2 linked regions of the Caenorhabditis elegans genome follow. The protein of the gene in region 2 interacts with the protein of the main gene of each other region in a biochemical or structural test. Each region holds a gene or a part of one and is shown on either strand. Other genes may lie near its edges.

The links.
Region 1: of the proteins of klf-1 (region 2) and wwp-1, one has a biochemical effect on the other in vitro, tested with the Caenorhabditis elegans proteins (one study listed by BioGRID).

What each region holds. Positions count from the first base shown.
Region 1 is NC_003279.8:535,575-551,391, reverse strand, and holds wwp-1 (E3 ubiquitin-protein ligase wwp-1), read right to left. Parts: upstream 14,271-15,817; 5' UTR 14,255-14,270; coding exon 14,149-14,254; intron 14,090-14,148; coding exon 13,832-14,089; intron 13,787-13,831; coding exon 13,557-13,786; intron 12,691-13,556; coding exon 12,481-12,690; intron 12,307-12,480; exon of another isoform or gene 12,150-12,306; intron 11,940-12,149; coding exon 11,665-11,939; intron 11,598-11,664; coding exon 11,384-11,597; intron 11,329-11,383; coding exon 11,008-11,328; intron 10,670-11,007; coding exon 10,409-10,669; intron 10,329-10,408; coding exon 10,107-10,328; intron 10,049-10,106; coding exon 9,761-10,048; 3' UTR 9,194-9,760; downstream 1-9,193. Other genes in the region: ptr-21 (SSD domain-containing protein), read right to left, coding at 480-684; icd-2 (Nascent polypeptide-associated complex subunit alpha), read right to left, coding at 14,899-15,036, 15,086-15,493, 15,543-15,584. UniProt on the Caenorhabditis elegans protein: E3 ubiquitin-protein ligase which accepts ubiquitin from an E2 ubiquitin-conjugating enzyme in the form of a thioester and then directly transfers the ubiquitin to targeted substrates. Ubiquitinates klf-1.
Region 2 is NC_003281.10:2,867,531-2,883,839, reverse strand, and holds klf-1 (Kruppel-like factor 1), read right to left. Parts: upstream 9,023-16,309; 5' UTR 8,948-9,022; coding exon 8,812-8,947; intron 8,251-8,811; coding exon 8,078-8,250; intron 7,165-8,077; coding exon 6,972-7,164; intron 6,179-6,971; coding exon 6,098-6,178; intron 5,513-6,097; coding exon 5,216-5,512; intron 4,546-5,215; coding exon 4,108-4,545; intron 3,926-4,107; exon of another isoform or gene 3,852-3,925; intron 3,746-3,851; coding exon 3,656-3,745; intron 3,509-3,655; exon of another isoform or gene 3,502-3,508; coding exon 3,416-3,501; 3' UTR 3,164-3,415; downstream 1-3,163. Other genes in the region: F56F11.2 (BTB domain-containing protein), read right to left, coding at 341-602, 660-930, 1,229-1,536. UniProt on the Caenorhabditis elegans protein: Transcription factor which modulates genes involved in lipid metabolism and the phase I detoxification pathway, including cytochrome P450 oxidases.

The sequences.
Region 1 (15,817 bases), on a different chromosome or scaffold from region 2:
TATACTGAAAATAGTTCTACTTTTATTATTATTATTATTATACTTTTTTTCAATTTTCACCGGTTAAACCTTTTGTTTCAAAATTCAGACGGCAAACACTTTTGCCTTTGCGGCTTAATAGTGTCAGGCTGTCTCATTGCGGTTTGATCTACGAAAAATGCGGGATTATTTTTCCAGAAAAATTGTGACGTCAGCACGCTCTTAACCATGCGAAATAGATGAGATATCTGCGTCTCTTCTCCCGCATTTTTTGAAGATCAAAGCGAAATGGGACTTTCTGACTCCACGTGGGTTTCAGGCAGGCGTCAGGCCCTAAAACCGTGCCTGTCTACCATGGAGGCCCTAAGTAAAATCATACAGTTTTTACATTTTTTGATTTCTAAAAAATATTTTAATGTTGTTTTTTCCATATTTTTCTTCTTTTTTGATCTAAAAAAAGATTTTCTCAAACTGTATTTTTTACGTCAAAAAAAACTAACATCCACCACTGCACATGATCACCGTCGCAATAATAAATGCAATCGGGAACCTGCCAATTATCTTCCCGCACACTTTATACATATCAGCCAACGAGATATTATTCACCGGACCCAACAGCTCAAAAGTCTTGTGTCGCGGCCGTGACGTGGCAGAAGCCGTCGTCGAGAGGACCGTCGGACGATGAACCAACTCGTCGCCCTCCATCTCAGGTCTCACCTGGAAAATGAAAATGCGGGAGTACTGTAGAAAATGACGGGAAACGTTTTGTGTTTAAAAAAAAGACGTTGAGAATCGTGGAAAAGTGACAAAAAGTGATAAAATGATGTGCTTTTTCAATAGCCACTAACTATAATATTATGCACCATGTGTGATAAAATGAAAAAAGATAAGAGTTTTTCGTATTATAGGTGTATTGAATGAATATTGAAAGGGATTAAAGTCAATGAATAGAAGGGAAAAATTGTTTATTTCTAAAAATGGAAGATATGAGATTGATAAAGAGATCATGAGTCAGAGATCAAAATCAGAAGGTACAAAAAATATTGGAATTTTTGTGTTGTTTGGTTTGAGAGTTCAATTTGCCTACAAGGCAGCCTACGACAGCTTACAAACCGACCAACGCAAGCCTAGAGGATCATTAATACCTGCCTATAAGTAAAATATGCCTGCCTACTAGGCGGCATCTGCCTGCCTTCAAGCCGACGACTTGTGCCTGACTGCAAGGATGCCAGCCACGAAGAAACCTTCACTTACCTGCGCCGGCTTACAAGGCAGCCGATGCCTAGTTAAGAAGCCTGCTACGCCTGCATCATGCCTACGCTTGCCTACTGGGCGGCTGACAGGCCTACTCATACCAGCAAGACAAACTACGCCTGCCTACAAAGCGACTGGCATCTCACCACAAGGCGGCCGAGGTCTGCCTACGAGGTATATTAGGTCGGCAGATAGGTAGGCACGTAGGCATGCGGGAAAGTGGCAAAACCCATAAAGTAGAAACAAAAAGTAGATGAAAATGGGTTCCTATCGACAGAAATACCTTTTTTTATTGGAAATTACTATCAGTAAAATTGATGGAGCCACCGAATATGTTGGAAATTCAGTTAAAAAATGGCTAGAAAAAAAGGAGTTCTACGTGGTTTACTGATAAGAGAAAAAAAATTGGTGGCCGAGTTTTGGAAATCTAGGCCACGGCCACGTGAACTTTTATTTATTTCGTGAATTTTTTCTACTCCGAGACAAAGAGCTCGAAGCTACAACTTGGAAATGGTAGCCGAGTTTTAGAAACCTAGGCCACGACCATATAAAAAGGGAACAAGCGACCTCAATAAATATTTTGAAATGAGAAATTCCCACCGAACAAAGTCTATATATAGGAAAAATGATTTTTGAAAAAAGAAAAATATATCGAAGGAATGAGTCATACGGGAGACATGAGATCATGAGAATTGAAATAAAACAGTCAGTTCTGAACACTGAAGAGATATGGGATTTTCGACAGAGAATTTGAGAAAAAGAGACATTTTTTTGAGAAATGTGTGACGGAATGAGGGGTCCGGGAGACATTTGATATGGGCAGCATAGGTGTGGGGAGCAGAGGTCGAAAGAACGTGTAGCCTAGTTTTTTGGATGGCCGAGTTTTTGATTTTTTCTAGGCCATATTGGTTTTTTTTGGACTTTTGGCTAAACTTTGTCGGAAAGTATTTCAAAAAAGGGAAAGGGGATTTTTTCCCATTTTTTAAAAGTTTTTTTTCTCAAATCTTCTAAAAAATTAGGGTTTTATACACAAAATCGCGTAATTTACACTACATGCTAAAATACACGCGGGGGGGAGGAGCCTGGAAGGGGAGTGTCGTTGCGACTTTTGACAGTGGCCATGGAAAACTGATTTTTATTAATGTTTTTTCATTTTAAGTCTTATTATAGAAAAAATACGATCGCAAAAAAATAAACAACGACACAACCATGGCCGAGAAATAAAATTGGTGGCTGAACTTTTGTTTTAATTTTTTTTCTTTTTTTTCGGCATATTTTTGAAACAAAATCGCTATTTGCTTTTGAATTTATCATTTAATAAACAACACGCACACTTTGCGGAGTATCGTTGTGAGATTTTTTTTTCTCAATTTTCAAGGGGTTCTGACCTACCTCATTGAATTTTTCGCGCTCCATTGATAATCTCTCACCGGGCAACGCGTGGGAAAGTCGTGTACTCCACACGGACACTTCACATTTAGTTTTACAACTAAAATCGAGGCGCGACGCGGCACGCAACGCGCCGTAAATCTATGCCAAATATGGCCGAGCCAAGTTGGCCTAGTTCAGCAAACTCTTCCATTTCAATTTATGAGGGAAGCCAGAAATCCGTGTCGAATTTGTAACCAAAAACCTTCAAAATGAATGTAATGAATCGAAAAATGAAATTTGTTGTTTCTCAGTGTTAACCGGAGACCCAGACAGTTGCAGAAATTTTTTGGAATAAAAAACAATAGATGGGCGCCCGATGTCGTGTGTTTTTTGGGAAAAATAATCAATTTGTAATAAGGTGAATATTGAATTTGGTGTGGATTTACGAGGGGATTGTTTTTTGAAAAACAATTTTTTTTTTCATTTTCATTAAAATTTTTCATCAAAATTAAAATGAAAATCACGGCTTCTCCCCAAATTTTTCGTTGTAATAGTCCTTGAGAGGCGAGAGATAGGGGGTACAGAGAGACGCAGACAGTGTCAAAAAATAAAATGAAATTTTCGGTGGTGAGAAAAGAGAAAGAGAAGAAGAAGAAGATCAATGGATCAATTGACGATGATTGATTGGGCAAAAAAAGTGCGATGGGCAAAAATTGAAAAAAATAGCCTTGTCGATTTACGCGACTAAGTGTAGATTTACGGGGAATTTTTTTAAAAATTTAATTTCAAAAATTGTTATTTTTTAAATTTAAATTTGGCATCTTATTTCAATTTCAATTTCGAACAAAAATTCAAAAAAAAAACTATACTGGTTGTCCGCGAGTAGTACACACCGGGTTTGTCGATAGAGCGCGCTTATCCACTGTTGCGGTTTGATCTACAAGAAATGCGGAAATTTTCGCCCAAAAAAAAGCGAAATCAGTTGAAAACTCTGCGTCTCTTCACCCGCATTTTTTGTAGATCTACGTAGATCAAGCCGAAATGGGACACTCTGACGCCATGTGCTTATCCAAATTTTCATAAAAAGTAAAAATGAACACATTTTGATTCCATTTCACTCAATTTTTCTCTCGTTTTTTTTTCTCGTTCGTAATGTGTATGTAAACATTGAAAGGGGGAGACGTGAATTATTTGCTAATTGACTCAATTTTTTTTGGCTGTCGAAAGAAAAAAGTAAGAGTTCACTTTCACTCAAGTGATATTTATTACAGGTGGGTCTCACCAAGAATATGGCCTAGCTTTGGATTTTGGGTCTCGAAACGAGAAGTACTATAGTATTAAGTTTGGATTTTTGGGCCTTGCTTAATTTTTTAGGTCTTAAAACGCTTTAGCAGCTGTAGGTAAATTAATATTGGGTCTTCAACCGAAATAAACCACAACTGTGCAATAGTTGGGTCTCGAAGCGATATTATAGGTATTTGGCAGAAAATGGTCGGGTGTTGGCTACTATGTATAGACGGGCGGTCAACCGGTAAGTTCACTCATAAGTGCTACCCCGCCTCCCACCATGATGATCTATACAATTATGAAACTTTGGTCGGAGACATTACAAATTGTTAATTTTTAATTTAATTAGGTCAACTTATTTGACGATTTAACTGAGGGTGGCCTAGAAAATGGAAATTCGGCCACCAAATGTTCGATAAAATTTGGGATAAAATTTTTGGTGGGAAATTCAAATTTTTTGAGACAAAAAATATTTTGGCGGGAAATTTAAATTTTCTGAGAAAACATTTTGGCGGGAAATTCAAATTTTTTGAGACAAAAAATCTTTTGGCGGGAAATACAAATTTTCCGAAAAAAATTTTCGACGGGAAATTTAAATTTTATGGAAAAAAAAATTTTTGGCGGGAAATTCAAATTACTTAGAAATTTGTGCTTCTAGGCCATTGTTTTAAAAATTATGGCCTAGAAAATAAAAACTCGGCCGCACAAATGCTCATTCCAAGCTTTAAATAATTTTTAACCTTTTTAACCCTCCAAAAAAGGCAAGAATCACCTGTGTAAATAATGGTTTATGAATTTCGGTTCGTCCTAGTTCATCAGTTTTATTTGTACAGGCTATCTCCACATGACCTCCCTTTAAAGTGTCAATAATTTTTTTTAGAAATTTAAAAAAACCGTAAACTTTAAAAGTTTATACAAGAAATGTTACACAGCAAAAAATAAATAATTGGGCTAAGCTATAAGTTTGCTCTGTTTGACAACATGTATCTCAGTTACTTTTGAAGCTATCAAAAAGTTTTTAATTACAAAAATATAGAAAAAGAAATAATAAACACTTTGTTGGTTGAAAAATTTTTGATAAAACAAACATGAAGCGAGATATAAGCTTTCAAAGTATATAGGTCCCGGTCGATGAACCATGTTCAAAATAGGGGTTTTTTTCGTGTTTTTTTTTCTAAAATTTTTTTTATTATTTTCAAATGCTTTGAGCCAATTTTATGATAATTTTATAATTTACAATTTTTAGTACTAGGGTGCGAGCGTACCCCAACGCCTTCGAAAAGTATGGCCTAGAAATTTGGAAAACTCTTCCACGCCCACGGGGAGCTTGTTTTTGAAATTTTTTACTAACCCATAATATATTGATCTCTAAGAAAAAATGAAAATTTAGGCTTTCAAAGAAAAAAAATGAAAAATTGGAAGAGCCGGGGGGTCTTATAAGAAATATAAATTTCTAGGCCACGGTCGCACTCCGGGTAAGGGGCCAAGCGTTTTAGAGATTTTTTCTTGCAAATTGCAGGGTTTATAATTAGAAAAATAAAAGGAAAAAATACAAAAATTGTGTAGATACGCAGATAGGTAAAGGAAAATGTACAGTCAAATGAAATTGGGGGGGGGGGGGGGGGGGGGGGGCTGATTGAGGTGAAAAAGGGGAAACCGGTTAGAGACAGGCAAGCGGGGTGGAGGGGGGGGGGGGGGGGGGGCAAAAATTGTATTCAATTGATTATTATTTTTGTTTCGTACATTCACATACCACTTTTTCGTTCCAAAAATTTAACAGAAATAGCTAGACGCAGACAGGTACAACGGGGAACAAGTAGTCGATTTAGAGGGGGGGGGGGGGTTGATTGTTTGTTAAGAGGGGCAGGTAAATGAGAGAGTAGTGATAGGGGGCAGACTCTGATTTATGAACTAACAGACAGTGTTTTATAAGAGAGGTACAAAGCGAACGCGGCCTAGTTTTTCCTTTCTCGGCCACTGTTTCTTTGAGCATGGCCTAGGTTTCTCCAATGAATTTTGTAGAGAAGGGTAGGGCATTCCACTTCACCCTAGTGGCCGTGGCCTAAATTTTCGTTTGAACGGCCGGACGGTGGTGTTAGAGTGTCTCGTTGTGGTTTGATATACAAAAAATGCGGGAATTTTTCCACGGAAAAAAATGACATCAGCACGTTCTTAACCATGCGAAATCAGTTGAAAAGTCTGCGTCTCGTCTCCCGCATTTTTCGAAGATCAAACCAAAATGGGGCAATTTGACACCACGTAAACCTCGTGGCCCAGTTTTTTTAAAATTCGGCCACCACTACCCGTGGCCTAGGTTTCTCTAAACTTGGCCAAAGGACGTTCAGTTTATCGTGATTTATGCTGACTTTTATCAGTTTCGAAAAAAAACCACGTATACCTCAGTTTTTCAGCCGTTTTTTGTTCGGAATTTGAGCACCGCAGTAGCTCCATGTTCTTCTTATCGAAGGTTCTGATTACAAATTAGAGTGTAGGAGTTAAATTTGTATGGAGAATTTTTGGTGCATTAAAAAATCTAGGTCACATGACAGAAATCTAGGCCAAATGCCAACAATCTAGGTCAGGTGCTATAATAAAAATCTAGGTCACATGTAAAAAATCTAGGCCTAGTAGCAAAAACCTAGGCCACTTGTTAAAATAAAAATCTAAGCCCCGTGTTAAAATAGAAATCTAGGCCACGTGTTAAAAATCTAGGCGAAGTATCAAAAATGAGAGCTAACTGAATGGTGGCCTAGGATTTTCATTACAAATTTTGTTAAAGATTCTAGGCCACGTCAAAAAGGGTGGCCTAGAATGTCTATGAAAATTGGTGGCCGAAGATTTGCATTTCTAGGCGTCGTAAGAAATACGTGATGGACTAAGACTTTCTGGGTCATGTGAGAACTAGTCCGTCTTTGCAAGACTCTAACTGGTGGCCTAAAACTTCCAGGAAAAAGCGCTTGCAGTTTTCTAGGCCACGTATCAATCAAGGGGTTTATAACCCTAAAAATGAGTATTTTCCTTGGAAAAAAAGGTCGTAATAAGCCAAATTTAGGTGTACACTGCTTCTATATAAATACGACAAAAAACTTTGAAGAACAATACACAAAAATCTTGTATTTTATATGTACATGGGGTTAATTCGATCAAAATTTTGAGTAATTGTCTTAATTAATTGCGCAAGTGCAATCATGCGCGCAACTTACAACACAAATCACAGTGATATCATTTGTTTGATAAAACGTCGGGAGGAGAGGTTTTGGTGGCTTAGAAATGCGGAAAACTCTTCCACTGGAAAAGTATTATCATCATATTGAAAAGTAAGTTTTAAATGTTATAATGGTGTAGTTTTGGCGAAAACGGATGGAAAATGGCCGAGTTATACTAATTTGAAATTTCTAGGTCATATTGGCAAGGGCGCTGGAAGAGGAAATCTCAACATTTCTAGGCCATCGTTCTAGACCCAAAGCTCACAGTGAGCATTGTGCCAAGATCATTTTATTAGGTTTTAGGGAAAGAAAACTGAATTTCGAATTTTGAACAGAGCGAAATTTTTTTTTTTTTGGAAATTCAATTTAGTAAACGAGCTCTGGTTTGGTGGTCCCGACGCGAAAAAAAAACAATTGAGTTTTTCCAAAAAATGAAAAATTTTTGCGTTGATGCACCATGTTTTACCACGGGGTTCTGGCCTTCCTCATTTAATTTTTCGCGCTCCTTTGACAATCGGCCGCCGGACAACGCGTGGGAAAGTCGTGTACTCCACACGGACAAATCACATTTAGTTTTACAACTAAAATCGAGCCGCGACGCGACACGCAACGCGCCGTTAGTCTACCCCAGATATGGCCGAGCCAAAATGGCCTATTTCGGCAAAAACTCTTCCATTTCAATTTATGAGGGAAGCCAGAAATCCGTGGTACCAACAAGAAAAAACCAAAAAAAAATAAAAAAGAAGACGAAATTGATTGTGTTCTGCTCGTCGTTTTTTCTTCGTCTTCTAGTGCCGCCGGAGCAAAAAGTGCCTAATTTCGGATGGAGTGAGGGGACCAGTGAGCAGTTCCTCTTCCTCTCCTTCTCTAATTCTCTCTCAATTTCTCAATTTCCAATTCTGACGAGCGGGTATCAACAATTCGACAGCGAAACTCTGAACAATTTATTTTAGGGAAAAAATTGAAAATTCAAATTTTCAGTTCAAATTGGTGTTTTTTTTTCAACTAAAAATTCAAATTCGACCGTGAGTTGCGATCGGCGCCACAGTTTTCAATGGAGCGCCCTTGCAAATTGAAATTTTTGGGATTTTTTTTACTTGGATCACGGATTTCTGGCTTCCCTCATGAATTGAAATGGAAGAGTTTTTGCCGAACTAGGCCATTTTGGCTCGGCCATATCTGGGGTAGATTTACGGCGCGTTGCGTGTCGCGTCGCGGCTCGATATTTGTAGTAAAACTAAATGTATTTGTCCGTGTGGAGTACACGACTTTCCCACGCGTTATCGGCGGGCGATTGTCAATGGAGCGCGAAAAATTCAATGAGGTAGGCCAGAACCTCGTGAAACGCTTCAATGGAGACATTTTGTTTGGTTCGCTAGAGCGCGCTTGCTACACAATTTTTCTTCAAATTTTGAGTATTATTGACGAAAAATTGAGAAAAAAATAACTTTTTTCAAGAAAATCATTGAATTTTTCTTTTCTTGGGTTAATCGGAAATATTCAAATTTTTATAATTTTTTTCGGTAATTTGAAGGTTAGTTCGCTGGAGCGCATTTGTTGTACAGTTTTTTTTATTTAAAAAATCATTGCCGGAAAATGGCAAAACAAATTCAAAATTTCATCGTTTTTTTCAGTAATTTAAATTTTTTGGTGGCGGTTTTGTTTTGTACGCTGGAGCGCATTTGCAACACGGTTTTTTTTTTCAAATTTCGAAATTTCTAGTCGTAAAATGGAAAAAAAAATGAATTTTTAGAAAGTTTTTAAAAAATCATTTTAAAGTTAATTTTCGCTGCGGGACCCAAGAACACTTTACGAAAAAATCAAGAAAAAAGCAAGAGCTCCCCGAATCTGATAAAAGCTAAAACGTGGAGCAATAAGAAAAATCGAAAGTCCGAAATAAAACGAATGAGGCTATCCATCCTCTCCGCTGGTGCAGAGAGAGAGGAGAGACGCAGACAGCCGAGACATGAGTGACCAAAGGGTCCCGTCCTTCTCCTGCAGGGTTCAAAATATTGATCTTCTGCTCTCCGTGTGTTCCGCATGGAAATTCTGAAAGTTAAGAAAACCTAAAACAACAAAAAAGGCTCAAAATTTAAAAAATTAAATTCATTACAACCAAATCGAGGAATTGTGTTTTTTTTTGTTTTCAAAAAAAAAAGTAGAAATTGTTCTAATCGGGGGGTGACGGATTGGTTGGGGGGATGCATTTGAATTAATAATCGAGAGCTGCTTCCGTGAAAAAAACTGGAACTAAGAATGACAAGGACCAAGTAAGAATAAGGCGCAGATTGGGTGGTGGTGGTTGAAATGGTTGAGAAGAAGAAAAGCAATGAAGCAATGGACACAAAAAAAATATTTGAAAAGTGGTGGAATTGTTTTTTTGTTGTTGGAATTAAACGGGAAATTTGGAAATTAAATCCAAAAAAACTAGATGCTTTGTCTATATTCTAAATATAGGTACATACCCAGAAGGAAAGGAAAGAGAGAGAGAGAACCTAAGCAAGTGGTATCACAACACGAAAATTATCACACAAATTCGAAAAAAAGAAACATTAATTGATGGAGAGAAAAAAAAGGAAAATCAATGGGGTGTGGGTGAGAAGAAATATGAGGGTTATACAATAATTAGGCGGCCAGCAAAACCAAAAAAAAACAACGGGAGACTACTCGTTTCCAAATCCTTCCGTCATCTCGATCGCCATGCTCAACTTCTCGACGAGCTGATCGTAGCTTCTGTATGGCGGCAAGTCGAGTCGATTGAAGCACGTATGCGACCGTGGGAGCCAGTTCTCCTTGCCGACACGCTCGATACAGAATAGTTGTGGTCCCGTCGAGCCCATCAGCTCGGAAAATCCACCGACTGGCACACGGCACGTTCCTGTGACGAATTGTAGGAGCCGGGCACGTTTTTCTTGGTCCAGACTTCGAACCCATTGCCAGAACCAGGTTACCTATAAATGTATTTTTTAATTAAAAAAAAAGAAGTTTTAATCAAATGTTCTCCCCTACCTGCTTGCTCTGTGGAGCATAATGTCTGTAGACAGTATTTCTCTGCCAATCGTCCACATCAACGTCCTGCATTCCGCAGAGCAACAGCTCGAGCTCTCTTTCATCGAAATACTGCATCCATTCCAACGGGAAGACCGAGTTGAAGCCGGTGAAGAAGGCTTTTGTCTGTTGTTCGACACCGCGATTGAAGCGCCACTCAACGAGCAGTTCGATGTATTCAAGCTGGAAAATTGGGATTTTTTAAATTAAATTATTTTATTTAAAAATTATTTTTATAAGCTCTAGCTAATCCAAAATCTCACCTTATTCTCCTCGGTAACAGCAATCTCTGTACCGCCCTCCTTAAGCTCATAAGTCTTGAGCTCGCCGAGCAGCTCGTAATCGGCAACAAAATAGAGCTCCATATCGCATTCATCGATATTGTTATCCTTGATCCACATCAATGAATTATAAATTTCCGAATCGACTTGTTCAATGTCCTTTAAAACAATCTTCTTGTTGAGCATCTTTTTGTAGAATGGCATCGTGAAACCGCTGTAGATGAATTTCCCGTGGAATAGCGCCTGGAAATTTGAAAATAAAGGAATTTTCTAAGAAAAACTATTTGTTTAAATAAAAATAACATTTTTAGGAGAAAATGAAATATATTGATCTGAAAATTTGAGATCATCGAAATTTCCAGGTTTTTTGAGCTGAAAATAAAAAAAATCGATATTTAAGGATTTCCTTCATCAAAAAACAAAAATTTTAGATCCAAGTGCTTTTTTTTGGAATTTTCTGCAAAATTTAACGTTTAAAATTTTAAAATTCAATTGTAAAAAGCGGAAAACTCGATTTTCTCTCGATTTCGCAATTTTTCATCCAATTTTCAACTGATTTTCAATTAAAAAAAAACACTCACCATGGCAATGAATCGTCCAATATACTCGAAATACTTAAGATGATCCGGGTTAACAAATGAAGCTGGATTGATTTGAAGACTATAATTGTTATTACCAGCATACATGAATAGGCAATACATTGGATTCAACACTTCGTGCGACAGCAGGAAGAACCATTCTCTGGCGACACCTCCATAGTCGAGACCCTCTTCGCCTCGGAATTGAATGTACAGCCGCCGGCGTAGATCGACTGCATTTTTACGCATAATTTCTTGGAATGAGTCTTCGAACACGTTATTACGGGATACTGTGATTTTGACATGATTAGGCACACTGTTTGACTGAAATTTACATCAATTTATAGCTAAAATCAAAGAATTTCTCGCCCTCCCTTACCAAGCATAAATATCTGAATTGTGCAATTTTCCACCGGAAACTCTTCTCCATGGCCATTTGAACACCGACGACGCCGAGCGGGCCGACGGGTTTTCCGGTTCTTGGATCATTATAGGTGGTGGTTTTAGACTGGTGATCGATGAAGAATGGAACGCCTTGCTCGGTGAATCGCATTTCCCAACCATCCGGAAGAGGTTGGTCGGAGCCTCTGAAACTTTTAAAACATTAAAACTGTGATTTTTGATAGAAATATTATTGGAAAATTGAAAATTTTCACATACCCCTGTGTTCTCGGATCTTCCCATTGTGTCGTTCTATTTACATGATTCACAAAGTACATTCTCGACGTATTCGGATCCTGACGCTTCTCCCATCCTTCGGGCAATGGTCCGAGTGGATCGTCGGCGCTAAAGTTGTTCTGCTGGAGAAGGAAACGTTGTTCCCATTGAAGCATCGCCTGATCTCTTCCCGATTGCCATTGTTCGTGTGCTTCAAGCATATCGGCTGTCGGTCGTTGCCAGGTGGTCGTGCGCGTGTTGTGATCCACGTAATACACCTGAAAATGGATTGTGCACCTGGCGTGAATTTTTAGACATTTTTCAAGTAAAAATCACTGGAAAGTTTTTTTTTTTTCGATTATCAAATAATTGGAGACCTTGGTTAAAATAAAGAAAATCAGAATTTTTTATCCGTCGTTATAATTTCCTAATTTTCAGGCCGTATTTAAAGAAAAAATTTCAAAATTTTCTCGAAAAAAAAAATTATGGAGGATCAAAATTACGAAAAATTGCCTGAATTCAGCAAAAATCTTCAATTTTGTCAGTTTTTCTGTGTTGGAAGTTGATTTTTACTTTATTTTTGGCCTATTTCGATGCAATTACAAAAATTTGACAAGAAATCAACAAAAATAAGACACTAATTATGTAAAAATCAAGATTTTAGCCTTAAAATAATTTATCAGGTCACTTTTTTCGGCATTTTGGTCCAGGTATCCGCGGCTACGGTAGATATTTTTAATTTTGATGATTTTCGCATCAAAAATATAATCAGAAACGCTTTTCTCGTGCTAAATCTGCTTTTTCCGCCGGAAAACTCACTCTTCCTCTCGGATCTCTTCGCATTTCCCATCCCTGTGGCAATGGCTGAGTAGACGGGCGTTCCCACGTGGTGCTCTTGGTGGTGTGATCCACGTAGTACTTGCGTCCGTATTGATCGAAACGCATCTCCCATCCATCGGGAAGCTGTTCTTCTGCTCCGGCGGCCGGGGTGCCGCCTGCTGTTGCTGCTGCTGCCGCCGCTGCGGTACTCTGCAAATGAAAAGTAAACATTAAGAGTAGTAGAGTAATGCATGTATTTGACAACATTTTGTGTATGATTCTGTAGCATTAAAAATGCAGAGAAAAGAATAAAAAACGCTCATTCACGCTCTCCTCTAGTGTTCATAATTATTAGAGCGCGCTCGCGCGGCACCTCACGAACTCCAGAATTCGCGGGATTTCGTTTCGCGGGGACAGCAGTTTTTGGCTATTTTTGGCTTCTATGGAAATTATTTTTAACGAAAACTGAAGGTTTACAGAGAGGAGTCACCACGACTTTCTTTAAAATGTATCAGTACCGTCAGTTTTTTCGATTTCAGAGTCGTAAAATATGTCATTTTGTAGAGAAAAGTCTGTTTCAAAAAAATCCATGTTTGAAATTATGAAATTGTTCTTATTAAAAACTGAACGATTGAAAAATTCGATTTTAACGTAAACTTGTTGATTTTTTGAATATTTTTATATTAGAAATTAAACAATTAAAATATCAAACATGGATTTTTGTGAAACAGACGTTTCTCTACAAAATGACATATTTTACGACTCTGAAATCGAAATACTGACGGTACTGATACTTTTTAAAGAAAGCCGTGGTGACTCCTCTCTGTAAAACCTTCAGTTTTCGGTCAAATTTCATAATTTTACACATTTTCAATTTGGATGATGCTTCTCAACAATATTTTAAATCAAAAAATTAAAAATAATTTCCATAGAAGCCAAAATAGCCAAAAACTGCTGTCCTCGCGAATTCTGGAGTTCGTGAGGTGCCGCGCGAGCGCGCTCTAATAATTATGAACACTCCAGTAGAGCGTTTCATGAATAATTAAATAATTCAAAATGGGTCTCGTCACGATTACCGTTGGAGCCGCCAAAGTGTCACGCTTCGCTGTCGCCGGTCTCCGCGCCGAGGATGACGTGGCAACGCCATTTGACGTGGATGCCTCTGAACTTGCAGACGCGGCGGTTTCAGCTCGTACTCCTGCGCTTCTTCGTTTCCGCTCTGGATATCCGGAGAAAATTATGTTGAGAGTTCCGATTTTCGAGGAGTCTTTGGCCAGCAAAGATATATTGTTGATGTCGTTTTTGACTGAAATAATAGATTTTTTGAGAAAATTTCAATAAAACCACTTACACTCTCCATTCTCATTTCTTGTGAGACTCGAAAGCTTCAGCTTCGCCATCCCTAGACACGTGTCATCGAATAGCTTGGCTTTTTGCAATAGACGAAACGAAATTGTCGAAGATTCATTTGCATGAACGTTGAGATGTTCATTCCACTCGGGCGCCATCGTCTTCTTCTTTACAGTCGTCTTTTTTGGCGCCGCCGATGACGTGTCACTCGTGATTTCGACATAGCAGTCGGCTGCCTTGGTGAACGACGCGTTGACGACTATGATTAAGAGGGGGAAATATTATTAGAACAGATGCAAAAAATCTACGAATTGTTACCTTTTACTGTGACTTTTGATGGTTTTGCCGACCCGTTTTGTTGTGCTGGAGTTCCATTACTCCCGGAACTACTCGGCTGCTGAGATGATGGTTCATTACGAGCCATTCGATCATGAAACTGGCTGAAAATTTCGCAATTCCAGAAAAGATTTAGAAATGAAAAGTCGGCGAGAAAGGAAAAATAAATCCACGTATCACAAATGACAGCGAAACGGTGGGAATGAAGATGTTAAGTACTACTAGTCAGTATTATCGATCGATTTCCAACTGATAACACTGGAAACCATGTGAAAAAATCTATAACAGCTCGCAGTAACTTGCCATTGGCTGCTGGTCGATGCGTTTTGTCATATGACCTGCACATCTAACGCCGTTTCGCCCGCGCATTCAAACGTGTTTGTTGGGGCGCGCTTGCTATTCAATAGCATTTTTCACATACACACAATTGGTATTTGCTGTTGATATAAACTGGAATGTCATGATAAAGTGATAGCAGGTGAAATGAATCACAGTCATACGAGTAAAGAATTGGAAGAAGTGAAAGTTCTCGATCAATAGAGGGGTGTTTTACACAAACAGTGATTTAATTGTTCTTTTCTGTAAAAGGTAGGTCAATTCGAAGATGCAATTGTTTTTTAAACATAACAAAAAAGTTAAAAAAGACTGATAAACGTTTACTTGGAACGGAAAACGGGATAAGCAAGAGATACAACGATAACAAGAGTATCTGCAAGGTCATCAGGAAACAAGCTACATGGTAAGGCTCATGATGGCATTGACGATGTCATTGTCAGCTTCCTTAAGCGCCCTGATGGCCTTGTTGCGGGTGGTGTTGGCTTGGGAAATGACAAGCTCGATGTCCTTCTCCTCAATGCCGGTGGAATCCTCCTTAAACCGTACAATTAATGTAATAAATCCGATTAAGTTACTGAATTACCTCAACATCCTCATTCTCGTCCTCTTCGACAGTCTTGAGTTGTGGGGCCTCACGAGTTGGCTTCAAGTTCTCAATAGCAGACATCTGGGCGTGTTGGGTGAGATCCTCGATCTTGGCTTCTCCGAAGATGATGTAGGTGTCAGATCCTGGGCTCTTGAACACGTCTGGCTTGTTTATGACGAAGAGGATGTTCTTCGACTTGCGAATGCAGACACGGGAGACACCAGTCACTTGCTTGAGTCCGAGCTTGGAGAAGAGCTTGCGGGCCTTCTTCTCGGAGCGGCTTTGCTTGGCCTGCTTGTCGATGTGATCTCCAAGTCCAGCAGCCTCGGCCACACGTCTTTGCTCCTCGGTGAGCTCTTGCTCGACGGCCTCGTTGTCGGAATCATCCGAAACGTCAACTTGTGGCTGAAATATAGAAATTTAAATATTTTAGACGTCACTTTGAACAACCAACCTCCTTGACTTCCTTCTGGCGAGTTTCGGTGCTTCCGGTCATTGTTTAATGTGGTAACCCTGAAAAAAACGTTTATGAAAGTTTACAAATTTGAGAGAAACAGGAGTTTCAAAGAGAATATTACAAAAAAAAGATGAAAAACTTGTAAATTCAAAATATCCACACATTTTTCTTGGTAGGAAAGCTTTAATCGAGGAAATTCAAGCTAACTTTTGCACAATCTTAGAATATACCCATTACTACTTATTCTAGATTGGATTTTCATGTTTTTGAGG
Region 2 (16,309 bases):
TAACAAAAATAACTACTTTATCGTGTAAAATTTTAAATTCTGAAAATTTTTGTAATTGGAATTTTTTAAATATCTTTAATCGTTATGAAGATATACGCGTTCAAAAATTAGATGGTGAGGAAGGAGACGCAGACGACGAGACAGTCTGCGTCTCCCCTCCTTCCCTACTCTCTCCGCGCGCGTGCACCCTACAATCTTTTAACCCCTGTAACTTTGCAACAGCTGGAGCTATCAAAATCAAAAAAATTTTCAACTAACAAAATGCTCCAAATTTTGTGTTCTACACTTTTGTAGTTGACAATTTCTCCATATCTCGCATAGTTCACAAGATATAACCCACCAAACTCGACAGTAGCTGTCGTATTCCAATGTAAATGCAAACATCTCGCCACCAATACATCATTCAAATCATGAAACGTCAACCGAGTTTGCAGTGCACCCATACGATGTCCGTGAGTTCCAAAAGTCTCTCGGATGCCACGTATTTCCTCCACAGGAAACCCATCCGATCCGAAAATGTCCTGGAGGGATTGTTCGACAGGAATATGGTATTCCACCCAGCGTTTTCGTTCTTCGGTGTACACCAGCATAGTTCGGGGGCTCTGAACTGGTTTTAAATTGAAATTAGTTAGAAATTTATATTCTTATAAGTTAGATACCATTAATTTAGCGAAACACCGATTCACTGGATCCACTGCAATTGTAAAAAGTGCACTGTTCCGTTCGGTGTCATCTCCTGCCGTTGGAATTGAATTTTTCAAGATTCGAAATGTTTTTGTAGATTCTTCCAACCGTATCGTCCAAAATGGAATTTCTCCTTGGACAATGGATCTGTCGTAGAGAACAAGCTGTCCGCCTGAGTCACATCTGAGCGTCACACTGTCCAGTGGCACTTCAAATACACGGTAGAGCTCTTCAGCTGCGTTGAGGCTGAAAATCATGTAGTTGACTAGATAGAGTATTAAATTCTGATCATTTTTCTAGGTGGAAGTATTTTGATATCTCTTCCCGTTCTGGAGATACAAGCGTTTAAACTTTTAGGAGAGAGGGGGAGACGCAGACAACGAGACAGTGAAGTGATCTGCGTCTCCCCTCCTCCCACACTTTTTCTCATCGCGCGCACCACCTGAACTTCAATTCTCCATAACTTTGTTAGGAAAAGAGCTATCAAAAAACTTCCAACTAGCAAAATTGTCTAAATTAAATGCTCTTTTACATGAAAACTTACAGAAACAAATCCGCTGTTCCATTATTCTCCAAATCGAATCTTTGCACAGCAAACGTTGCCATTTCTCGCGCCACTCTCAAAAAGAGCACATAGATGTACCGAAAATCCGGTGATAATGTGGAAAATGTGTAGGACATCTCACTAATATTTAGTTTTGCAATTTGATGCCAATGATACGGTAGACGAATGTCAATTGCGTAGAATTCCAGAACATGTTTCACTTTTACGTAGACATAGATGGTGTTTTGTTGGATTCCAAGGGGCTGGATACGGCCAGGGCGCCGATTCGGAAAATATTGGGTGTGCATTTTGCTGAAAAATCTTAGAAAAATTGTAGCGGGAAATTCAAATTTTAGTATTAAAAAAATTTTGGCGAGAAGTTAACATTTTCTGTGAAAATAAGGATTTGGCGGGAAATTCAAATTTTCAGATAAAAAAGTTTAGGCGGGAAATTCAAATTTTCAAATAAAAAAGATTTGGCGGGAAATTCGATTTTTTTTATTTAAAAAGTTTTGGCGGGAAATTCAACATTTTTGTATGAAAACTATGTGGCGGGAAATTCAAGTTTTCTGATTTATAAATTTAGGCGGGAAATTCAAATTTTCAAATAAAAAAGATTTGGCGGGAAATTCGATTTTTTTTATTTAAAAAGTTTTGGCGGGAAATTCAAATTTTCAGGTTGGAAACGTTTTGGCGGGAAATTCAACATTTTTGTATGAAAACTATGTGGCGGGAAATTCAAGTTTTCTGATTTATAAATTTAGGCGGGAAATTCAAATTTTCTGATACATAAGTTTAGGCGGGAAATTCAAATTTTCGTATTAAAAAAATTTTGGCGGGAAATCTAAATTTTCCGGTTAAAAAAAATTTTGGCGGGAGATTTAAATTGTTTGATTAAAAATATTTCGGCGGGAAATACAAATTTTTTGATTAAAAATATTTTGGCGGAAAATTAAAATATCTGAGAAAATTTATTCGCGAAAGTTCATCCATATCTTGAAAAAAAAATCAATTTTCGCTCTAATCCTCCCACTCTTTGAGCCACTTGTAGAAAAACAGGATAAAGTGTAATAAGAGACGCAGACAGGAAGAGATTTGTGAAAAAAAATCAAGAAAAGTTTCTGGAAAAATCTACGAAAAATGGTAGAAATTGATGAAAAACTTGAATTATTATACATTCGTCAGTCTTATTTTTCTACGGGTGTGTAATATTTTATTACGTTTTCTAATATAAGTTTTCTTTGAAAAACAAGCAAAAACGGAAAATTTCTTCAGGAAAAATGGGGAAAAAAGAGGAGAGGGGGAGAGACGCAGACAGAGAAAGATCAACATTTGGGTAGAGGGAGAAGAGACGCAGGAAGTGATGGAGAGAGGTTTTTTATTTGGAAAAAAACTATTGTGAGGGGTATTTTATATTAGTGAAGTTTTTTCAAAAAAATTTAAAAAATTCGAAGAATATTTTTTTTTGGAAATTTTCTTTTTGAATTTTTTTTTTGAAAAATTGCCAAAATGGTTATTAATTGTCAAATAAAATAATTTTTCAACTTAATGTATTATAAAAACTAAATAGAACAAATTTTCCAAGACAAACATTTCAAAAAAAAAAACCAGCTTTTTTTCGAAAATTTTCAATTTTCAACTTTTCCAAATAGTTGAAAATCTAATCTAAAATTTTAGAAAAAACTGGAATTCTTCATTTTGTGAATATGAAAACATGAAAATAATAATTTAATAGTAAGTATAATGAAATTTTCAAAAAAAAAATTTCAAAAAATTTTTTCCAAAAATTATTTTTGAATAATTTTGAAAGGCTCAAAACCTTTCCAATTTGGTTTTTTTTCAAATTACTAATCTCTGAAAAATCAAAAAAAAAAACACAGAAAAAAAAATCGATATGTATTTATTGATTTCCACGTGGGGGGGGGGGGGGAAAGTGAAATGTGACAAAAATTAATATGACCGTATTTAGTGATGATACCAAGCATTTTTTGAGCAAGAAAACATTCAAAAAACTGTAAAAATGACGTCACGATGTTGAGACGTGACTGGCGGGAAGTTTGAAAATTTTTGAAAAAAAAAACTTTTTTCAAAAATTTTCCAAAAAAAATGTAATGACCGGATAAAAAGTTGAGAAATACATTTTGGGAACCCGTAATTAGTTAATCTGTTGCACCATGTTTTTTTTGATTAGAAGTGGCGTTTCATATGGAGTGAGAGATGATCACTTCGGGAGAAGGCACGTGAACATTGAGAGCACTTGAATGGGCGGTCTCCTGAAAAAAACAATTATTTTTGTTTTTCTTAGCATTGCAGTGCATAATTTAAATAGAGCTCGACGAGAGCTTTCATTTAAGTATAATCATGACTAGGTTTGGGAAAATTTGAAAATTTTTAGGTGTATGCGCCTTTAATTCACTCAAAAATTACCTGTATGTTTCCTATAGTGCCTTGTTAGCTCGTCAGATCTAGCAAATCGCCAATCACACCCGTCCCAACTGCATTCGTATGGTTTTTCACCTGAAAAATGATTTTTTTCATCAAAAAATTTCTAAAAACAACTTTAAAGAGAAGTTATCAAGATTTAAAACTGAAATTTTCAAACTTTTCATCCAGAAAAACCTATATCCTTCGACAAAGAATCGAACCTGTGACCTTCTGGGTCATAGTCTGACATCTTACCGACTGCGCCACGCGCGCACTGCGTGCCGCGCCAGTTGCTGGGCGCGACGGCGCTGGTGGCGCAATAGGTAAGAGAGATGACTGAGACCCAGAAGGTCCCAAGTTCGATTCTTTCTGCATGTTTTTGGTTTTTTCTGGGTGTAATGATTGCTTTTTCAATCTAGAAAATATTTTGTTCAGTACAATTAACAAAGTATTACCTGTATGAGTTCTAAAATGAGCCTTCAAATGTGAGCTTTTCGTGTAGACTTTCCCGCAATTCGGATGTGTGCAATGGTGAAGCCTCTTGACAGATGGTTCAGAAGCATCATATGATGAGCTCGGGCTCGGCTCGCAATTTGAATCCTCGAGGGAAGAGTCCACGTGGAGTCTTTGCGAGGCTTCTGCCATGTGGGTTTGATGCTCTTCCATTTGTTTTTTGATAGCATCCAACTGAGTTTTGATGGCCATCGGATCGACTTGACCATTTGCGTCTGGCATTACAGCTAGACACGCTGAAGCCGTCAGTTCGTCTATTTTTCGCTTAAACTCCAAGGGGTCAAAGTTTTGGTAGACGAAGGAGTTCACAGAGCTGGATACTGAGCTGGGAAGGTCTGATGTTGATGACACACTTTCTACGTTCACTGTGAGAGGTTCGTCTAAAAATTAAAAAACATTTGAAGTTTTGATTTTTCAAAAAAATATTTTGAAAAAAAATATTTTGGAGAAAATTTTTTTCAGCACAAAATTGGTATTATAATTATCTTGTTTTCAAGTTTTGGATATTTTATTGTAGTCAGCTTGTTAAGACCTTTCAAGTGACCCCCATCATGCTAGGTTCTCCCCATGTTGGGTCCCACCACGAAAATTCCCCAGGAGTACTGTAGTTTTCGTGGTGGGACCCAAAATGGGCAGAGCCTAGACATCATGGGGGTCATTCGAAAGCTCTTGATGTGATGAACGCGAAAAAAGGTTATTTTTCGAAAAATTATTTTTGAACTAAAAAAATATTTTTTACCTTAATTTTGTTTTTATCGCTCTCAACTCATCAAGAGCTTCAAAATAACACCCATCATGCCTAGGTTCGGCATATTTTTAAATTTTTAACCCTATGCGCCTTTAAATTCTGGTTCTCGCGGTGAGACCCAAAGTGGGCGGGGCCAAGGCAAGATCGGTGTCATTTGAAGGATCTTGACGAGCCGAGAATAGTTAAATTGTGAAGTTTGACGACTTTTTTTAATTTTGAAGAAAAAATTTTGAAAAAAAATTTTGTGGAAAATTTTTTTTCCAGAATTAAAAAAAAAATTTTCCGCAATTTCAAAACCTTACCTCTTAAATCAAAATTCATTGCGGATCTTTTGACACACGGACTTGTCGGACTATCCATGTCAGCATCCTCCACAACAATACTCTCATGATCCTGATGGCCTGAATCTCCGGAGCTCGAGGAAGCGATATCGAAATTTGAAGTCGAATGAATCAGCCGAATTGGGACATTTCTAGCCATATTCAGGTTAAGATTTCGAGATTGTGGAAGCGGGTCTCGATTCAGAATGTCGGAAATCAAATGGCCCCCGGGGCGCCGGGTATCCAGATTTTCTCGAAGCAGGACTGGAGCGAACGCACCTGAAAATGATTTTTACTTTGAAAATTTGAATCAAGCTAGCCAAGAGCTTTCATTTAAGTATAATCATGACTAGGTTCTGACGATTTTGAACTTTTCAATAAATTTCCGGGTCCCACCACAAAAACTACAGTATCTCTCATTTCTTGTCATACAATACACTTTAAACTAAAAATATGAATTCAGCACACTGAGAGCTTCAAAATAACACCCATCTTGGCTAGGTTAGGTTAAGTTTGAAATTTTCAAACCCTATGCGCCTTTAAATTTAGATTTTCGTGCCGGGACCCAACAAGTTGAAAATTGAAGATCAATATAAAGTTTTAGGCATCGTGAATGCTAATAAAATTTTAAATGAACAGATGAAATATTTGTCAGTGACCTCTAAGCCTGCACTTCCGGGTCCCGCCACGAAAATCAAAATTTAAAGGCACATAGGTGCTTTAAAATTTAAACTCACTGGAACCTAGTCATGATGGGTGTTATTCAAAAGCTCTTTGCACGACAAATTCAATTTTTTCTATAATTTTCAAAAAAAAATTAGTTAGAAAGTTTAAAAAATTGAAAATTGAAAAAAAATCACAAACTTTTCTTGACTTGCATGCCCTGAAAAGCTGCTCCGAGAGCTGTCGTCGGTGTGTTGAATCCGGAAAATGACGACATTGACTCTGAAAAATATATGACAATTTTTACAAATTCGGAGGGTGTTTTGCAGGGGTGTCCCTGATAAGAAATTTTCTTTAGGCGTTTTCTTTTTTTTAGGTGATAAATTTAGTTGAGTTTTTAATTTTTGCAGAAGAATATGATTTCTTCTGCACATTTTGAAATGGGAATGGTTCCGATATCTTGAAAACTGGCAGAGTTATCGATTTTCGAAAAATTTCGAAAAATTTAAAATCGAAAACCTTTAAATTTTAACGCAGAGATTGAACTTAAAACTTCAAAACAATTAAATTCGAACTCAGCACGTTGAGAGCTTTCAAATGACACCCATCATGCCTAGGCTGCGTCAATTTTAGGTCCAACCACGAAAACTACAGTACTCCCGGGGAATTTTCGTGGTGGGACCCAAAATTTTCCAAACCTAGTCATGATTATATATATTTTTCTGAAAGCACGTAAAATTTACAATTCGAATAGTTTGAAAACTTGTGAGAAATACTGATAGTTTTCGTGGTGGCACCCAAAATTGTGGGCAAATTTTCGACAATTTTCGAAAATCGATAACTCAGCGAAAAATTGAGATTTACATAAGATTTTTTGTTTGACAAACACAACAGAAATTGTTCTTTCAGACAAAAATACTTTTCGCAGCCTGGAAACTGTACCTACAGTACCCCAGATCTTTTTCGTGGCAAGACCCAAGAAATTTTCAAAATTTTCAAACCTTGGCATGATTATACTTAAATTAAAGCTCTCAAAACGCTGAATTCAGATTTTTCAATCAAAAATAAAACCCACTCTGATGCTCTGCAATAAAATCACTTTTGATCTGTTCCAGACGGTCATTAAATGAAGTTGTCGGTTGGAAAAGGCTCTGAGTTGAGTCAAAATGTGAATTTTTATATGGTGCAAATGCAGAAAAGTCCGATTGTCTTTCGAAAACCGATGAAGAACTTGAACTTGTTGCTGCTCCGCTATCATTTCCAAATGTCTGCAAAAAAAACACATTTTTAAAGGATTTTTCAATTTTTCCATATTTAAATCTGATTTTTATGCTTAGGCTTGAGCTCAGGCTTAGGCTTAGGCTTTGGAGTCAACTTCGGCTTAGGCTTAGGCTTCGGCTTAGGCTTAGGCTTCGGTTTAGACTTAGGCTGAGACTTAAGCTCCTGCTTAAGCTTACACTTAGGCTTTGGCTTATGCATACGCTTTAGCCTAGGATTAGGCTTAACCTCAGCCTTAGGCTTAGGCTTAGGCTTAGGCTTATGTTTATCTATTTCTTGGTCTTTTTTCGAAATTTTGCGGTTAATAAAAGTTTTTTTTGTGAAATCTGTTCCATTCTAATATCGATTAATTAGTCTTTCGTAGGAAGATGAACAATCCGGTCTAGATTTTCTCTATTTTCTCAGCGCTCTCTCAATCTTATCAATCACTCTCTCTCTCTCTCTCACTTTATGTATGTGTTTCGGTAGATAGAAAGAGAGGCGCCAACGCCCAATGTTCTCCCTACTCTCTTTCTCTGCGTACTCTCTCACTCTCTCACTCTCATTTTTCTTTTTCTTGCGAAACAAGACGGTCGCCGCCGCCGACATCAAGAAAAGACGGTAACCACACCCAAAAAGGCGGGAAAATTGAGAGTGACAAAGAGACTGAGAGATAAGAGGGTTAAAGGACATGTGACTACTGTAGCTTTGAAATTTTGGTGGTTTTTCGTTGTGGGACCTTGAAAATATGAAAATCAAATTCAGCTGGGTGAGAGCTTTCATTTAAGTATAATCATGACTAGGTTTTGAGAGGGAGTCTTAAAAAAATTTAATTTCCGGGTCCCGCCACGAAAATCAAAGTTTAAAGGTGCATAGGCCTAACATAATATAACCAAGATAGCTGTATCTCAAAAAAAAACGAACATTTTCTAGCTTCCTCCTCAACGCGTTGGCCTTCAGCCTTTCGTAGGCACTTGTGCTCTCGGAAAGTTCCCGAATTGATTCGTAAAATTGATGTCCGAATTGATTAAAGCTTCTTGTTGCTTCATGTATCCGCTGTTCAGCATCGTCGTTTTCAGATGAAATTGAGGAGAGGCCTGAAAATTTGAAGATTTTTGGTTATATTTTTGCAAAAAAATTCAACGTTTTCTGCACATTTTGAAATTGGAATAGTTCAAATATCTTAAAAACTCGCAGAGTTATCGATTTTCGAAAAATTTCGAAAAATTTCAAAAAATCAAAACTTTTAAGGCACAGCTTGAACTTGAAACTTCAAAACTGTTAAATTTGAACTTAGCACACTGAGAACTTTCAAATGACACCCATCATGCCTAGGCTCCGTCAATTTTAGGTCCCACCACGAAAACTACAGTACTCCCGGGGAAATTTCGAAATTTTCGAAACATAGCCATGATTATACTTTTCTGAAAGCTCGTGAAATTTTAAATCTGATTATTTTTAAATTTCGGGCTAGAAAGTCATAGTTTTCGTGGTGGGACACATTTTTATTGAAAATTTTTTGTAATTTTTCGAAATTCGATAACTCAGCGAAAAATTAAGATTTTCACTTAATTTTTTCTATGGCAAACACAACAAAATTTATTCTATCAGGAAAACATATTTTCAGTGATGGTATTAAATAAAAAAACATCTCTCACCTGGTTGAAAAAAAGACGGTGACAAATGTACTGATCTATCCGCCCGCGCCAATGGATCAATTGATAATGATGGTTTATTAGGAATGTGTATTAATGGTTCCCGTGATGACGTGGCATTTATCGATGATGACGTCATCGTGGATGACGTGGAATTGAATTGTAGTGTACTTGATGAGGAGCTGAGTGACCCGGAGCCTTCCGGCCCAAACATCTGCAAAAATCGATATTTTTATAGATTTTTTAGAGGGGAAATGGGTAAATTGTGAAAAAGTACATAAGAAAATCTAAATTTGAGAAAATTTTGAAATAATTATTTTTTGAAAAAATTTGAAAAAAAAAATTTTGAAAAAAATTTCAATTTTTTGCTTTTCGATCTTTTGCTCATTTTTGAAGATTTCGATTTTAAGTTTGGTTTTCAATCTATGAAAAAAATTTTTTAAAGTGATTTTTCCCTAAAAACCCCAACAAAAATTTCCAAAAAAGGCGTAGTCTTTTACATTTTCGAGGGTAATGCATCGCCTCCTCAACACACAGCCGAAACAAAAAAAAAAGATAAAAACCGAAACAAAAAACTTGATAAAGGAATAAGAAAATGAAGAAATAGACAGAAACGCAGAGATACACAGAATCGGCCGAAAAAAAAATGGTAGGGAAAATGAATTGTCAGCTGAGAACGGGAACAGGAGAACGTGTCATGTGACATTTATGATTTTTGATTAGAAAATCAGAGGAATTTCTTGAAAAATCTCTAAAAATCAATAAAAATCTATCATTTTTCGTTTTTGCAAAATTGGAAAAAAACAATTTCGAGTTTTTGGCCTAGTGGCTAACAGAGTTGGCTGGGACTCACAAGGCCGGGGCTCGAATCCCCGATGGGGTCAAAATTTTTGTCGAGTTTTGTTTGCATTGTTTATGCTTTGAAAATTGACATGGTAGACGCTTTGACTTTGAAAATGAAAATTCACAAAAAAAAATCGAGATTTTAGTTCATTTCCCGAAAAATATCGATTTTCAGAAATATTTACATAAAAATTCGGGTTTTCCACGAAATTTCCGTCAATTTGAGACCCATATCGATTTTTTCAAAAAAATTAAATTTTTGGCCTTGTGGTTAACACGGATGGGTGGGACTCACAACACCGGGGTTCGAACCCCCGCTGGGGTCAAAACTTTTTTCCAATTTTTTTTTGGTATGTCAGAGATTTTTATTAACAACATTTAGTTCAAACCGTAGCGGACTGAAATTTGGTTTTTTTTTAATTTTTTACTTTGAAATTTTCAAAATTAAAAAAAAACAATTTTCAGCAAAAACGAATCGATTTTACAGAGTGAGAATAGAAAGTGAAAATAGTTGAAAAAACTAGAAGTATTAATGAGACAGAACTAACTACACGTCGATTGTAAATGTGATGTGACAGTTAGTTTGAGACGCACAGAAGAAACAAGAAAAAGATGAAAAAAGAAGAGAGAGAAATGAAAAAGGAACTGAACTATATAAGAACAATCTTCCAAATTAATCGATAGTTACACTAAATTTCGGCGGGATTTGTTAAAATAAAATTTGTGAAAATAAAAACTAGTGATTTTCCGGAATTTTCATATAAAAATTCGAGTTCCCAATAAAATTTCCGTTAATTTGACAACCATATCAGCTATTTTTGAATCATTTTGAAAAACATTTGAAACATTGAATTTTTGGCTTAGTGGATAACACTGGTGATTGGTAATCTCAACACCGGGGTTCGACCCCCACTGTGGTCGACGTTTTTTTTTTCGGTTTTTTACACATTGTTTACAGACTAAAAATGTGTCGAAACTTGAAAATTTAAAAAATAATAGTTGAACTTTTGGCCTGGTGGATAACAGAGATGACTACCACCCACAACACCTGGGTTCGAGTCCCCACTGTGGTAACTTTTTTTCTTATGTTTGATATCTCATCTACACTGGCCTCAGCGTGTTTAAAATGCCTTCTTTATGTAAAAAAGGCGGAAAATGGGTAAAAATTGATGAACCGCATCGAAATGAGTCTTTATCTCGGTGACAGCGACGGGAAATTTAGTTCTAGTGTTCCGCAAAATCGAGAAACTCAAATTAAAATGTTTTTAAGGTCAAAGATATGAAAATAAAATTCGAAAAATTTCACAACCTTTTGTACTGTGGACTTCAAAAAATGTCAGCAGTTACGGGAATATCATAAGACATAGTGGGGGTGTCATGTGATTAGTAAAAATTGGAAAAAAAAATGTAATATTAGTTTTGTGTACTATAAAAATTAAGAGGAAAACATTGAAATTTTGAAATTTTGAAAAAAAATTGGAACTTTTTCGTAAAATTTTGCAATATCTCGAAACTAGCTATGCAAAAAAAAATTGAAGACTAAAATTTTATAACTTTTAAACTTTTGGATACAATGAAGCTATTTTTCGAAAAATGATACGGCCACAGACAAAAGAGAGAGCAAAAACTTTAATATTTATGGCCTACGCAAATCAATAGTCCTAAAAGTTTCCTATAAGTTGGTTTTTAAAAAAGTTATCTAGCTCATTTTTCCGCGGAGTTACGCCACTTTGAAGATATCATGCGAGAGAGCGTAGGGTGAGGGGAGACGCAGCGTGCGCGCGCCGCCTGCGTCTCTCCCCCTCCCACTCTAACACCTGTTACCTTTAAACTTGGATATCTCTGTTGAGAGAAGAGCTAGAAAAATACTTTCAACTGATAATTTGTAGATAATTTTAAGGGCTACATTTTGAAGGTTAGCAAATTTTGGAATTTTCAAATAGTTTTTGAGAAAAAACAATTTCAAAAAATGTTTCAAGTGGATTTCCAGGAAATCTCAAAAATTCCAATGAAGGGCAAAGTGAAAGACACAGAATGAGAGAAAAAACGAAAATACATACCACACACTGTTTCTTAGATGGATGGTGGTGGGGGGAGAAGAACAGGGCGTCTCCCCGCGGGCCGCCGCCGTCTGCTGTTTCCCGTGCAAAATAGGCGGAGCCAAGCAGGCCATACAAACACACACACACACAAAGAGACTGTCACTTGAGAGAGTGCAGAGAAGCAGAGAGACAAGGGTGTGGTAGAGGGCACGGGAACAAGAAAGATCTAATGATGATGATGATGATGATGATGCGGTTTCTTCTTTTCCTTCTGGAGAGGAAAAAGAAAAATGACTGGTGGTTTAGAAGGTCTAAGGGTGTGGCTAAGCCTTTTAGGTTTGCAAAAAAAACCTTTTTTCTTTTACAAATATCCTATATCTCCGGAAAAAACGTTTGCTATCAAAATTTTTTAATTCAGAAAATATAGTCCTTAAAATTTCCCATATTTTGTTAGTTGAAAATGTTTTGATAGCCTTCCTCCCCGCTGAGATATGCGCAATATAAGTTTGAAAGGGCGAGACAGTGTGGGAGGGGGAGAGACGCAGGCTAAGCGCGCACACTGCGTCTCTCCCTCTCCCACACTATTTAGCTCCTGTGAACTTTAAAGGGTTATATCTCTGCGGGGAGAAGAGATATCAAAAAGTTTTTTTTTTGACTCCCAAAATATAGAAAATTTTAAGGGTTATATTTTGTTAGTTGGAAATTTTACTGTATCTCTCTTTTCGACCGAGATGTACGCGTTTAAAATTAACTCAGAAAAAAATTGAACGTTTTGAGAACCTGCGCTTTTCCAAAATTCTACTCATTTTCAAAATAATCCGGTTTTAGAATATTTTTTTAATAATTACATACTCATTTTCTGTCCTAATTCCAAAAATTCGCTGACGTTCCCATTTTGCGTAAAAGAGAAAACGCCCAAAAACCCTTGGCGAGAGATCGTAAAAAATTGATAATTCCGGGTATATGCGGAAAGGGAAATTTCAAATTTAGGTCAAATGAGATAAGTATCTTAAAATTGGGCCGTTTTTTGTTTTATTTTTCATAGAATTTTCAATTAAAGTTCAAGCTCAAGTGCAAAATACGAAAATTGAAAAAAATAGTGTACAGCAAAAATATAGCCATTGAAATTTCTCCTATTTTAATAGTTGAAAATTTTTCTTAGCTCTTTTCCTTTCAGAGTTATGCCATTTCGAAGATGTGCAAGCGAGATAGTGGAGGTGGAGGGGAGACGCAGTGTGCGCGCGCCGCCTGCGTCTCTCCCCCTCTCATTCTCTCTACCACGCCCGGACTTTAAACGCAGATATCTCTGCTGAGAGACAAGTTAGAAAAATATTTTTAACTGAGAAAATGTAGAGAATTTTAAGGGCTATATTTTAGTAGTTAAAAACTTTTTGATAGAATGTTTCCCTGCAGAGTTATGCTTTTTTGAAGATATCTCAGTTGAGAGACGAGATAGAAAACTATTTTCAACTGAGAAAATGCAGAGAATTTTAAGGGCTACATTTTATTAGTTAGCAAATTTTTGATTTACTAAGTAGTTGTTGAGATAAATCCATTTTTTCGAAGGAACTGATGCTTAACACGTCAAATGTCTGGAATTCCTTCCCATTCTTAAGGTATTAAATGAAGGTTCATTGCTGATTACGATTCACCCCAATTTGACGGTAAAGAGAAACGCAGAGAAACGGTTTATTACCCCGTTTTATTTTTTCGGTGTTTTAATGACTTAAGAAGCAAGCATAGAAAAATGGAATTTCTTGTGTGTGACAGGTGGTGCCTGGTCACATGGAATTTGGAGCAGTACAGGCAGAAAAATTTTGCAATGTTTTATCAGTTGGTAGTTTTTATGGCCTTTTCAGCACAAAAATGCAAAAGTTCAACATTTTAGAGATCTTTACCAACTTTTCAAAAGTTGATCACTAACAAAATAAAGCCATTAAAATTCTCCACAATTCCTCAGTTAAAAACTTTTTGATAGCTCTTCTCTCCGCAGAGATATAATCTTTTAAAGTAAAAGGGGCAAAATAGTGTGGGAGGGGGAGAGACGCAGCGTGCGCGCGCTGCCTGCATCTCTCCCCCTCCCACACTCTATCGACATCTAAAACTTTGAACGCGCATATCTCAGCGGGGCGTGGAGATATCAAAAAACTTTTAACTAACAAACTGTAGAGAATTTTAAGGGCTATTTTTTGCTAGTTAAAAACTTTTTGATAGAACGTTTCCCTTCAAAGTTATGCCTTTTTGAAGATGCTAGAGGAAAAAGTGGACAAATTTTAATTTCAAGCAAAAAAAAAATTGAATAAATTCGGAGCAAATTTGAAATCTATGGAATTTCCCAAGCAAAAATGCTCCCAAATGTTTTGCGAAAAAGACACAAAAAAAAAGCGAAACTTTTAGTGATAAGGGAGATGATAAGCGACAAGAGCATGACAAACAAACCGTTTTCTGTGTTTATTTGTTTTTTTTTACCCTCTCAACTAATGGACTTGTTGTAGTCTGTGTTCGGATTCTTGGAATGGACACAAAACATGGTACATTCAAGAGAGTTTACAACTTTTTGGATCCAATTTCGAAAGTCATGGTTCTGATATTAAAATTATTGTAAATTCTGTGTTCAGCACATTGAGAGCTTTCAAATGACACCCATCATGACTAGGTTCCGCCGTCTTTGGGTCCCACTACGAAAACCCTCGGGAGTACTGTAGTTTTCGTGGTGGGACTCAAAGTCGGCGGAACCTAGTCATGATGGGTGTTATTTGAAAGCTCTCAGCGTGACAAACACGAATTTTCAATTTTTAAAATTCAAAATAGCAAAATAACACATATTTTTTAGCGAAAAAAACTGAAACTTTAAAAAAAATTGCATAAAATCGCGAAGGATTCAGTGATTTATTATCACGGCTAATCAGTGATAAAGATAAGAAGAAAAATGGTGATGAAATGATGGATACTAAGACACTAAAAATAATTTATTAGCTAATGAAACTGAATGATTGAAAGCAAAGATCAATTTTTTCATTTTCTAAATTTTCTTAATAATTGACGGACTTTCAATTATTTTTGTTTGAAAACTTGAAATTCAAATTTAACTCACCGAGACCTTTCGAATGACCCCCATCATGCCTAGGTTCCGCCCACTTTGGGTCCCACCGCGAGAACTACAGTACCCCCAGGGGTTTTCGTGGTGGGACCCAAAGAGAGCGGAGCATAGTCGTGTTGGGGGTCATTTGAAAGCTCTCGGCGAGCTCAATTTTAAAAATTAAATTAATTATGTTTGAAAAGAGAAAACAGCAAATTTCAAAAAAAATATTTTTAAAAAACTGTTTTTAAAAATGTTATACATAATATTTTTAACTTCAAGGTTTTCAATTTTTAAAACCAAAAATATACATAACATATCATTTGTGTTCAAGACCAGTTACCACGTGGCAAACTCATTTCGGTAGGTCAAATCCTCCGTGACCACACCCAAAAAATCTCCGTTCCATTTCCTCCCCCTCCAATTATGATAAAATTGTCTGCGTCTCTCTCAAAGTGCCACACCCAAAACTACAGTAATCCCCAGAGACTCCGCCCATTTTATTCTCGGCCGTTCAGTGATTTTTTGGAGGTTATTTGGCGAAAAATGTGTGATCTACGATCGTTGGAAATTCGAGGAATTTTATCATTTTTTGGATGGTATTTTGGGATATGGGGGTGGCGGGGTTGCCGGAAATTTTGAAAAATTGGTTACTAAGTTTAAAAAAATCAGAAATTTAAAAATTTTCCGAATACGGTTGTGCCGCATGCCGAGCTATCGAAATTCACGAATTTCTGGCTTCCCACATAAATTGAAATGGAAGAGTTTGCCGAACTAGGCCATTTTGGCTCGGCCATATCTGGGGTAGATTTACGGCGCGTTCTGTGTCGCGTCGCGGCTCGGTTTCAGTTGTAAAGCCAAATGTATTAGTCCGTGCGGAGTACACGACACTTTTCCACGCGTTGTCCGGCAGGCGATTGTCAATGGAGCGCGAAAAATGTAATGAGGAAGGGCAGAACCCCGTGGAAATTCTGAAAAATAAAATTTTCGCACTACAAAATCCCACGTGGTGCCAGGCTGTCCCATTACGGTTTGATCTACACAAAATGCGGGAATTTTTCGCTCAAAAAAATGTTGAGAACTCTGCGTCTCTTTTCCCGCATTTTTTGTAGATCAACGTAGATCAAGCCGAAATTAGACACTCTGACACCACATGAATCCCAGAAAATCTGGATTTTTTTTTGCCAGAAACCTTTGAGTTTTGCCGAAAATTTGAAAATTTTGCCAAATTACCGAGTTTTCAAAATCTGAAAATATGTATTTCGCCGAATTTTTAAAAGGGGAAAGAGTTTCTGAAAATCTAAAAAACTCAAAACTCCAATAATTTCAATTTTTAGGTTGCCAAGAGCCTAAACATTTGGTAGCGAGTTTCCAAAAAAAACCCCCAAAAACTGAAAATATTTATTGCCGAGTAGCCAAAAATTCGAAATTTTAACATTTTTATTGCCGAGAATCTGAAAAAGCTAACTTTTTGGTTGCCGAGTTGTCGGATTTTTCAAAATTTTTTTGTAAATTCAGAGTTGCAGAATGTCTAAAA